2 linked regions of the Coturnix japonica genome follow. The protein of the gene in region 1 interacts with the protein of each later gene in a pairwise test. Links are inferred from orthologs where the notes say so. Each region holds a gene or a part of one and is shown on either strand. Other genes may lie near its edges.

Region 1 (4,009 bases):
GAGTGGAGGTGGAGGGACCGCTGACCCTGGAGGCCAACTGGGACATTGCACACCTGGTCAGGTAATGGGCAGGTGACACACAGTCCAAGCTCTGTGTGCTGTCAGTCTGACAAAAACCAAGGGCACAAAGTGTGGGTGGGTGATCGGTGCCATACACTCCAGTAGAGGTCCCACTGATTCGGTGCTAGAGCCAAATCCTCTCTTGGCCGGGAAGCGGCTCTGGGCAGCAGAGAGCTTCTCACTGATGGACCTCCTGAGATTTTGCTCCTTTTCTTCAGTACAAAACTCTGTGCAGGTTGTGGTGGTGCACACATGGACCACATCCCCACCATGCCACATCCTGACCCTATAAACGCTCTTCTTGCAGTGGCTTCGAGTGATCTCTGCAGAACTGCTTTGTTGTGTCCGTGCTTCTGGGCGATGCACATCCAAGAACTCCTTTTGAAGTTCCCATTTCTTTTGGAAATGAAATAAACCTGTTAAGACGATGTCCCATGTTTGTGCTTTGTCCAGAATTGAAGGTTCTGACTCCTCATAACACTGCAGGAAGGTGGTTGACAGCCCCGTCCTTTATTCCTGGCGAAGGGCAGCCAAAATGTCCTTTTGTTTGTTTGCTGAATGGTTTCTGGTAGACACTGTGCTCCACCAAAGACATTTACAGTCGTCCTCCCCTTGGCAGTGCCTTTATCGTACCATCTTGGGTCAAAGTGCTCCTTCAGCACCTCCAGTTAACACTGTGAGCTCATTTCTGCCAAAGGTGACAAAGCTTTTTCCCTTTCTGTGTCATCGTAAAGGTTTTTGCATTGCCAGGTGGCGCTGATGGCAGCTGAAGGACTCACCTGTGGGACCTGAGCTGGTTCTGGTCCTGGCTGATGCCTGTTCACTTCCCACGTTCTGAACCTTAAGTGAAATATACACAATTGCTTCACTATTTGCCCTAATGAAAGAATGGGAGCATGAGTTGCCATAGCAGTGGGGTGTTCCAGTACCCCACTTAGTGCAGCTCGTGCCATATTCCTCTTGAACTGGGAATTTCTCAGCCCTGCAATCATTTATGAGCATTAAGTGCGTTGTTTCTACCACTGAGTATAAGCAGCTCCAATGGCAGAATTCTGCCTCAAGCATGACCGCCACATACACACTTCAATTGCTGTCCCACCTCTGAGCAAGGCTGTGTCCCTAAGGGCAGAGAGATCCGCCCAGAGCTGAGCTCTGTGCTCTGCTCCTGTGTCTCCCACGAGGCACTATGATATCCCAACAGCCGGACAGCTCTGCATAATAAAAACGCGTGTTTATAAATCCATTTCCCTGGTTTTATTAAATGTTCCACGTATGTACATTTTAAAGATGAACCATTTACAGGTCTGCACATGCTGCCTCCTGCTTTCCTTAGGTCATAGGGCAGGTTCACAAAACCTCTATGGAAACAGAAAGGTGCAGGTGCTTCTGAATTCTGTATGTCAAAATGCTTCCGCTTATACCGTAATACATACAATTAAAAAACCCTCAAACATGCAAATTGTAGAAAAATTTAAGCTGGCAGTGAAAAATAAAAACAAACGTCTTCTTTTTGTGCATGTCACAGTTTTGTTTTGTTAAATCAGATTTCTAATTCTAAGGAACGTAGTGTCTGATGCCACTGCTTAAAGCACGGTTATCAACTACTCGTCGTTAATCAATGCTTAATGGTCCATACATTTAACTCCCAACTACAGGGGAAGATCAAGGCAGCCTCGACTTTCCCTCTTCCATCTGCACCCTCTCTCGGGGACTCTTTGGAGCGCGGCGGTGCTGGTGGGCTCCCATGGAGGACCCGACCCAACCGCATGGCAGCAGCGGGGGCTCCAAGAACCATCGCTGGCACTGAGCAGGCAAAACGCTTCCGCTTGTGTTTGGATCCCACGTCCCAGCTCACAAGCCGAACAATTACTCTTTAAAATAAAATAAGATTAAAAAAAGAGAAGAAAAAAACCAAACAAACCAAACCCAACTCGTAAGGGCCAATTGTAGAAGGTTCACACTTGAAAGCAATCATTCATACCTAAAGTCAGCACAGAAACCTAAAGCTCTGGGTCAAGTGTTGGGAAAAAAAAAAAGAACCAACCTGTGTTAAGACATCCAAAAGGTTTATATACTGGTTCGTTAGCTACATCTGTTCTCCTTTCTTTAGAAATGGTCACATTGACAATGTATAATTCAAAACATTTCTGCACAATAAAAACAGAAAACTATGATACAGTGAGGTAAAGAAAACGCAAAAATATTCACCCACAATATATTTTCAGAAAATACCAACACAGTGATTTTTCTTTAAAAAAGCACAAAACTTATAAATGAACAGCATAAATGGCTATTTATCTGAGTGATCGCCTACAAATTTCCTAAACCCACAAATCCACAGGGAAGTGTAATGGTCTCATCCAACATTTATTGAAAAAACAACCCTTTCCAGATCCCCAACTCGCAGATCAGTGCTCAGATTTCCATCAGATCCAAATCGGCATCTTCGAAGCCGTAAAACGATTCAGTCTCGCTCTCCCCCTCGAAGAGCTGATGGAGGATCTCGGGGTCGCCACACTCCTCATTCTGGGGCTGCTCCTCGCCTTCCACCGCCTCCTGCAGCTGCTGCTCCTCACCCAGCTTCAGCTGCTCCTCCAGCGTTGAGATCAGCTCCTCCTGCATGTCAGCGTTGCGTGTGGCTGAGTTGGCCGTGCCGTCCGGCCCCGGCAGCACACTGGCCACCAGGAAGGACTGCTGCACGAGTTCAGGAGAGTCACTAATGACTTCCAGCACCTCCGCCAGCCAACACAAAACCAACTGGAGAAGGATGTCCGAATCGCACGTGGAGTCCGCCATCTCCTTGGCTTGCTCTTTCCACTTTTTATGCAAGAAATTTTTCACAGTCCTTTTTATACAAACATCCAGGGGTTGGATTTTGGAGCTGCAGCCAGCGGGTACAACAGCCGGGAGAGTGCTGGAAGCACTCAGCAAGGACAGTACCTCCTCCGAGAGGTGTGTTCGGTGGCAATCTAGCACCAGCATGCCCTTGCTGTTCTGGCACTCGGTGTGCTTCTGCCACACTCGTGACGCCCACAGCTCCATGACCTCGTCATCGCTGTAGCCATTCTCCTTCGCTTCCAGTATGATGGATTCAGGCACGTTGGCGGGCTGCTGGACGTGACCTCTGTAGAAGACCAACGTGGGAAGAACGCTCCCGTCAGCAAGGATGGTGAGGACCACGTCGCACCAGGGCTCACCAGTCCCCACCGTCTGCAGAGCGTTCTCCTTCTTGTCGTCACTGCTCAGCACCTCCACGTCAAGGAAGAGGGAAATCTCGTCGATGGCTGCGATCATGGAGAGGGGCAGGTCCTGCGTGTGGATCTGCCTCTGCACAAACTCGATGAAGCAGCCAGCGTTGTCCTCCACCTCTTTGGGGAGCGAGTGGGCCACTGCCCTCCGCGTGTGCATGCTGAGGTTGTGCCGCAGCATGAACCGCACGGCCCATTCGTAGGAGATCTTGAAGCCGCCCTCCAGGGAGCGGCCAAGTTTGGTGGCCTTCTGGAAGAGCGTCTCCTCATTGACGGGCAGCTGCTGCTCCCTCTGGGTGAGCACCCACTCTGCCAGCTTCTCCTCGGCCTCCAAGCTCAGGTATTTGCCCTCCGACAGCGACGCCAAGTTCTCCTCTTGGAAAGCCTGGAACCTCCGGAGCCAACGCTTGATGCGCCGCTGTGGGTTCCTGAAGTGCTCGGCCGCCTGCTCAGTGCTGTAGCACAATGCAAACAGAACCACCCGCAGCTTCTTCACCGACAGCTGCTCCTTTTTGCTCGCAGGTTCGGTCTCCTTCATTGGCTGCTCGTCTTCCTGAGCATCGATATTTAAGCACTCTTCCTCCTGGCAAAGCAGGGGCTGGGTGTGGGCTGCCAGTGCCACTTCAGGCTCCAGGTCGTCCTTCGCGGGTAACACAGACTTAGTTTTCACAGTAGCAGCTTTACTGGGGGAATAGGCAGGG
Region 2 (5,638 bases), on another chromosome or scaffold:
CTCCTTCACATACGTGTTTAGGAAGTACAGTCGGGGAACGTTACCCATGTTATATACGAGGCTGAAAAGAAACTATAGTGCACCCTTAAAATACACTGCCAGGAATAGTCACAGCTGAGTGGCAGGGAAATCGGCTTGGTGACTTGAAAGGTCATTTCTAGTTGTTATCGCTGTGATCCTGAGAACTTCTTATAAGCCTTACATTAACCAAATGCTTAAATATTTTGCTAAGTTGGAATCTGGGGATTTTTTTTTTTGCCCACTTTTGTGTCTGAATCTTACAGACCCTGATACGCAATTCATAGAACAGAGAATTCTAAGGCACTGAATACAAGGAAGTACTTGCTTCCTTCTAAGTACTCCTTCCTTTTGTTCCTGGTGTTTTCCTTCATCCAGCAAACTTCTTGCACACAGATCAAACTGCAGAAGGGCTTATAGTTCCCTGTCTGTGGAGCTTCACTCATATGCTGGCAGACTTGGGCTTCTTAATTTCGTATTTTGAAAATGCACAGAGTGAAATTTGCCCTTTTAAATAGAAACTGGCAGAGAGCTGAAGGATTTATTGTGGTGAAATTGAGTGTCAGTGTTGCACAGATATCACGCAAAATGGGATGGGGCAAGAAAAATGGGTGATTTTTTTGTTTTGCACTCATTGATTTTCTGGTCTGACAGGTTGCCAGGCGCTGCTGGTCGGGTAATGGCTACGCGTATGAAACGATCTGCCAAGCAATGAGAGACAACGCCGCACTGAAAGTGACTCTTCCTCAAAAAGTGGTGGATGAGAACATCTTGGAACAAGCCCTCAGAAGTTAGTGGGAAATGCAATGTTTCCTGGCAGAAATGTCTGATACAATGTGCAAACAATAAAAGCCTTGCAATTGTCTCTGGCACTACGTGCGTTTTTTCCTTCTAACTCATTAATAGGACAGATCTGTATCTGCTTGTGACAGGTCCACTGATGTCAGAACAGCCTTTTCACTGGTATGTGATGAGTGATGAGCTGCAGTCTTTGGACTGTGGGATCTCAAGAAACCAAATAATGTTAAGTAACAAAACACCACAGGGTCTTATAAAGCGTCTACTCACTGCACCTCCAGCATTGCCTCCAGAAAACAGCAAACCTGGTGTGCTGTGTTGTTTTTTGTTTTTAATTTCCTTTAGAAATCAGTTCTTTACTCTGTTCACACAGTGTGTATCTCCAGATGAACAGCAAGAGGCTGGCATCTGCTTGCAACCAAACCTGCGAAATGCATTTTGTAGCTCACCAGAACTGCTTTACGCTGTGGAAAAAAGCACACATTGACAAGTTACACCACTGAGAGCTGAGTAGTTGCCAGCCAGATTTGACAGCCTTTCTTTAACATATGTCAGGCGTTAGCTATTAATAATCACACTGGGTTGGTATCTTGGTAGCTGTATCTCATACAAGCACTCAAGTTACTGTAGCCCAAAAGAAATGGGGCACCTTTTGTCATAAAAAACATCCAGAAAATGGCTGTTTGTGCTATGGAAGCTCAGCTCCACCGTCATCTTAATCCCAAGTTGAAAGATCTACCACAGAAAACGTGGAAGAAATATTATTATGGATTCTTCACCTTTGTGTTATTTAGTACTGAGATAACAGTAACCGGTCACCCCCTGCTGGGATGAAGCAGCTTGTGATTTCCAGCACACAGAAGCCATAGGCCAGGGAAAAAACTCCCTGAGCTCTGCTGAGCCTCCTTGTTTTTCTGCTCTCTGTTTGCAGAGAAACCGTGTCTATGAATGAACAATTGTTCTGCATCAATCTGGGGGGACGCTGATGTCATTTCTAGGCAGATGACCTCAATGCTGGAAAAACTCAATACAAGCAGAGCAGCCTCCTTCAAACACATCTGCAGTCACTGTATGAGGCCAGACAGTAGATAACAGATGAGATTAATCTCTCAACCCCAACCCACCCCCACCATGCCCATAACCACGTCCATCAGTGCCACATCTCCATGGCCCTTGAACACCTCCAAGGATGGTAACTCCACTTCTCCCTGTGCAGCCTGAGTTTCTCTAACATCCAACCTGGTGCAACTTAAGGCCATTTTCCTCTTGCTTGCTGTATGAGATACGATGCAGAATAGCTCCAGGGACACAATCATCCCACTGGAAGGATCACAGCACCATCTGCTGGGACCGCTCGAAGGGTTCACAGCTGCCGGAGCCCACAAGCAATTTGGTTCTTCCTTCTGCTTAAGACTGGAGAGCCAGAACAGACCTGAAAACGAGAACGAAAAATAGAATGAAAGATAAAACAGCCAAGCCCTGGGCAACCTGATCTAGTAAAGGTGTATGTTTGGTGGCCCTGCCAGGCAGGGGGTTGGAACTACATGATCCTTGAGGTCCCTTCCAACCTGGGTCATTCTGTGATTGTTCCCGTCCGATCCCCGCTCCATGGATCCGCACTCCGTGTTTCCACGCCGCCTCCAGCTCCGTTCCGCTCCGTTCCATTCCGTTGTTCCGCGTTTCCTCTCCGACCGCTCCATGCCCCGCCCCCCGGCTCCGGTTTCAGCCGCTGCTACAGGGACCCCCAAGATGGAAACGCAGGGGCTGCCCGCCGCGGAGGCGGCCCGGGCCCGGCCCGGCGCCCAACATGGCGGCCCCGCCGCGCCGCCCGCCGCCCCGGGCCGCCCTCCGCCTCCGCCCGACTGGGACCGGGCGGCCTCCTCCGCCGCCTCCTCCTCCGCCGCCAGCAGCGCCTCGTCGGGCCTCTACGTGAGCTTCCCGGTGCTGCTGGTGGAGGAGAAGCCGGAGTCCGGCCCGGCTCCCAGCCCCAGCGCTCCTCCGGCGGGCCCCGCTCCCGACGGCGACGGGCTGCTGCTCGTCCTCAACGTGGTGCGCGGCAACGCCGAGCCCGACTCGGGCGACGGGGATGCGGGGCGGGCCCGGCCCGGCCCTTCGCCCGCGGAGCCGCCCGATGAAGGCCCCGGCTCCGCGCCGCCGCCGCCGCCTCCGCCTCCTCCTCCTCCCCCGCCGCCCCGCGATGGAGACGGAGACGGCGGCTCGGAGGACGGCTCCTTCTCGGGGACCATCACCATCAACAACCAGAGCCTGCTGGTGCGCATCGAGAACGGCGTGCTGACGCTGGGGCCCGGCGCCGAGCAGGCCGCGAACAACGCGCCGCCCCCGGCCCAGCCGCCTCCCCCCGCCGAGCCCCCGCCGGGCGTCCCGAGGCCTCGCTCCCCGCCGGCCTTTCCCTGCCCCGAGCCGCGATGCGGGGAGGCCTTTCCCCGCAAGCAGCAGCTCCGGCTGCACCGACTGACGGCGCACGGAGGCGGAGGAGGGGAGGACGGCCGCGGGGCGGGGGGGGCGGCTCGGCCGTTCGGCTGCCCGGTGCCGGGCTGCGCCTGGTCCTTCGCCACGGCCTACAAGCTGCGGCGGCACCTGCACTCGCACGATAAACTGCGGCCCTTCGCCTGCGCCGCTCCCGGCTGCTCTAAGCGTTTCACTACCGTGTACAACCTGCGGGCCCACAGCCGCGCCCACGAGCAGGAGGCGGCGCACAAATGCGAGGCGTGCGGGCAGCGTTTCCCCAGCGTCGCCCGACTCGCCGCCCACCGTCGCCGCAGCCACCTGGAACCAGAGCGGCCCTACCGCTGTGACTACCCCGGTAAGACGCAAATGGGGCCGGGCCCGCGGGGCTCCGTGCCTTCTCCGTCCCTTCTTCCCCCTACAGCCGCCCTCGGGTCAGTCCGAGGTCCCTGCTGTGCTCGCTTTGCTTCCTTGCTGCCTCTCCTCCCTCTCCCTTTGGAGCCTGCAGGAATGTCCCCTCTCCCTGACACCCTCGTTCACAAGGGGGGTGGTTTGGAGTTGAGGGGTGCAGCTGCGATGAGGTGGTGGAATGCCAGCAGTGGAAGCACCAACCTTGTGTTGTGTGCCTTATGCAGGCGTTGGTTGTCGAACAGGCTGCCCAGGGAGGTTGTGGATGCCCCGTCCTTGTTCAAGACCAGGTTGGACGGGACCCTGGGCAACCTGATGTAGTAAAGGTGTATGTTTGGTGGCCCTGCCAGGCAGGGGGTTGGAACTACATGATCCTTGAGGTCCCTTCCAACCCGGGTCATTCTGTGATTCTGTGATCTGTTGTCCTCTTTGGCCGAGTAATTGTAATCCCTGAGAATAACTTTCTTCTCAGATTGATAAGGCGCTGCCACCCAGGGAGTGGTGGAGTCACTGTCCATAGAGGTGTTTGGGAGCCATCAAGATGTGGTGCTGAGGAACATGTTTGTGGGTGCGGTGATCGTGGGTTGACAATTGTAATTGATCTTAGGGGTCTTTTCCAAGCATAATGGTTATATGAAAGCATCTTTTATGCGTACCAACCTGATGCACTGTTTGTTTTCTGTCTCTCCCCAGGCTGTGAAAGGACTTTTATCACAGTGAGCGCACTGTTCTCCCACAATCGGGCCCACTTCAGGGAGCAGGAGCAGTTTTCCTGCTCGTTCCCAGGCTGTAACAAGCAGTACGACAAAGCATGTCGGCTGAAAATCCACATGAGGAGCCACACAGGTACTCACAAAACTGAGACCACAGGTTTCAGATTAGTTGTACTAATAATGGTCTGTGTTCTGTGATGCATATGGAGATGTGCAGTAGCCTTGAGGTAAAGAAGATGCTGATTGTAGATGAGGGGAGAGGGCATCACTGCTTGTATGTGATTTACCTGAGGTGGTGGTTGAGTCTTGTAGTCTTAAAATAATTGAATTTAAACAGCATTGGGGATTTCTTAATCTAATACCGGTGTGTGATTTGGTATTGTTAACGTGACCTTTCTTTGCTTAAGGTGAGAGGCCTTTTATCTGTGACTTCGAAGGCTGCGGTTGGTCTTTCACTAGCATGTCCAAGCTGCTGCGACACAAGAGGTAGCGTTGTCAGACTGTGCTGTTTGTTTGAAGTCCCTGTTTGTTAGGTTTTGTTTTTCCTTCCAGCAGTCAAAGCAGTGGATGCAGTCTTGCTAATGGTGATTCCGTTTGTTTATAGGAAACATGAAGATGACAGGAGGTTCACGTGCCCGGTAGAAGGCTGTGGGAAGTCCTTCACAAGAGCAGAACACTTGAAAGGCCACAGCATAACCCACCTTGGTACAAAGCCATTTGAGTGCCCAGTAGAAGGTACTGCTCAGCTCTTGCATTAACTGGTAACTGCTGTGTGCTGTGTAAATAGAGGAAAGCTCAGTGCTCTTCACCAAACACAAGCTAGTTACAGGATCACAGGGAGTCTTCTAACAGGGTCTGAACAGATAAAACTGAAGGTCTATTGCTTCAGTTGGACTCCAGGAATGTAGAAGATTGGGTATGATCTGGAATATTCACCTTCACAAAATAAAACAGCTTGGTGGTTGTTTCTCCTTTTAATGGTTTTACCAGCCGTTATCACCAAGCATTTTCAAGTAAAATGCCACAGAGGGGAAGGAATAGATTGAATGACTTAGCATTTCTTCTTGTCAGAAGTGGCTTGCTGAGCTGTCCTATCCACTTGATGTAAAACGAGAGGTTGTATATTTGGCTTGCTTCTGAGTCCTCTGAATGTATGTTCAGATGCTACTGACCAACAGAGAGTTGTGATTTGTTCTGTAGAGACACTAAGGCTGAATGTCAGGCTATAACTAGGT

What was found.
Region 2: the proteins of POGZ (region 1) and ZXDC interact in binary tests that used the Homo sapiens proteins (3 or more experiments, as listed by UniProt). The link is inferred for Coturnix japonica from reciprocal best matches to the Homo sapiens genes POGZ and ZXDC.

What each region holds. Positions count from the first base shown.
Region 1 is NC_029540.1:2,373,487-2,377,495, reverse strand, and holds the end of POGZ (pogo transposable element with ZNF domain), read right to left. Parts: coding exon 2,476-4,009; 3' UTR 1,292-2,475; downstream 1-1,291. UniProt on the Homo sapiens protein: Plays a role in mitotic cell cycle progression and is involved in kinetochore assembly and mitotic sister chromatid cohesion.
Region 2 is NC_029527.1:8,255,380-8,261,017, reverse strand, and holds the start of ZXDC (zinc finger protein ZXDC), read left to right. Parts: upstream 1-2,400; 5' UTR 2,401-2,424; coding exon 2,425-3,640; intron 3,641-4,383; coding exon 4,384-4,536; intron 4,537-4,810; coding exon 4,811-4,889; intron 4,890-5,007; coding exon 5,008-5,138; intron 5,139-5,638. Other genes in the region: UROC1 (urocanate hydratase), read left to right, coding at 673-813. UniProt on the Homo sapiens protein: Cooperates with CIITA to promote transcription of MHC class I and MHC class II genes.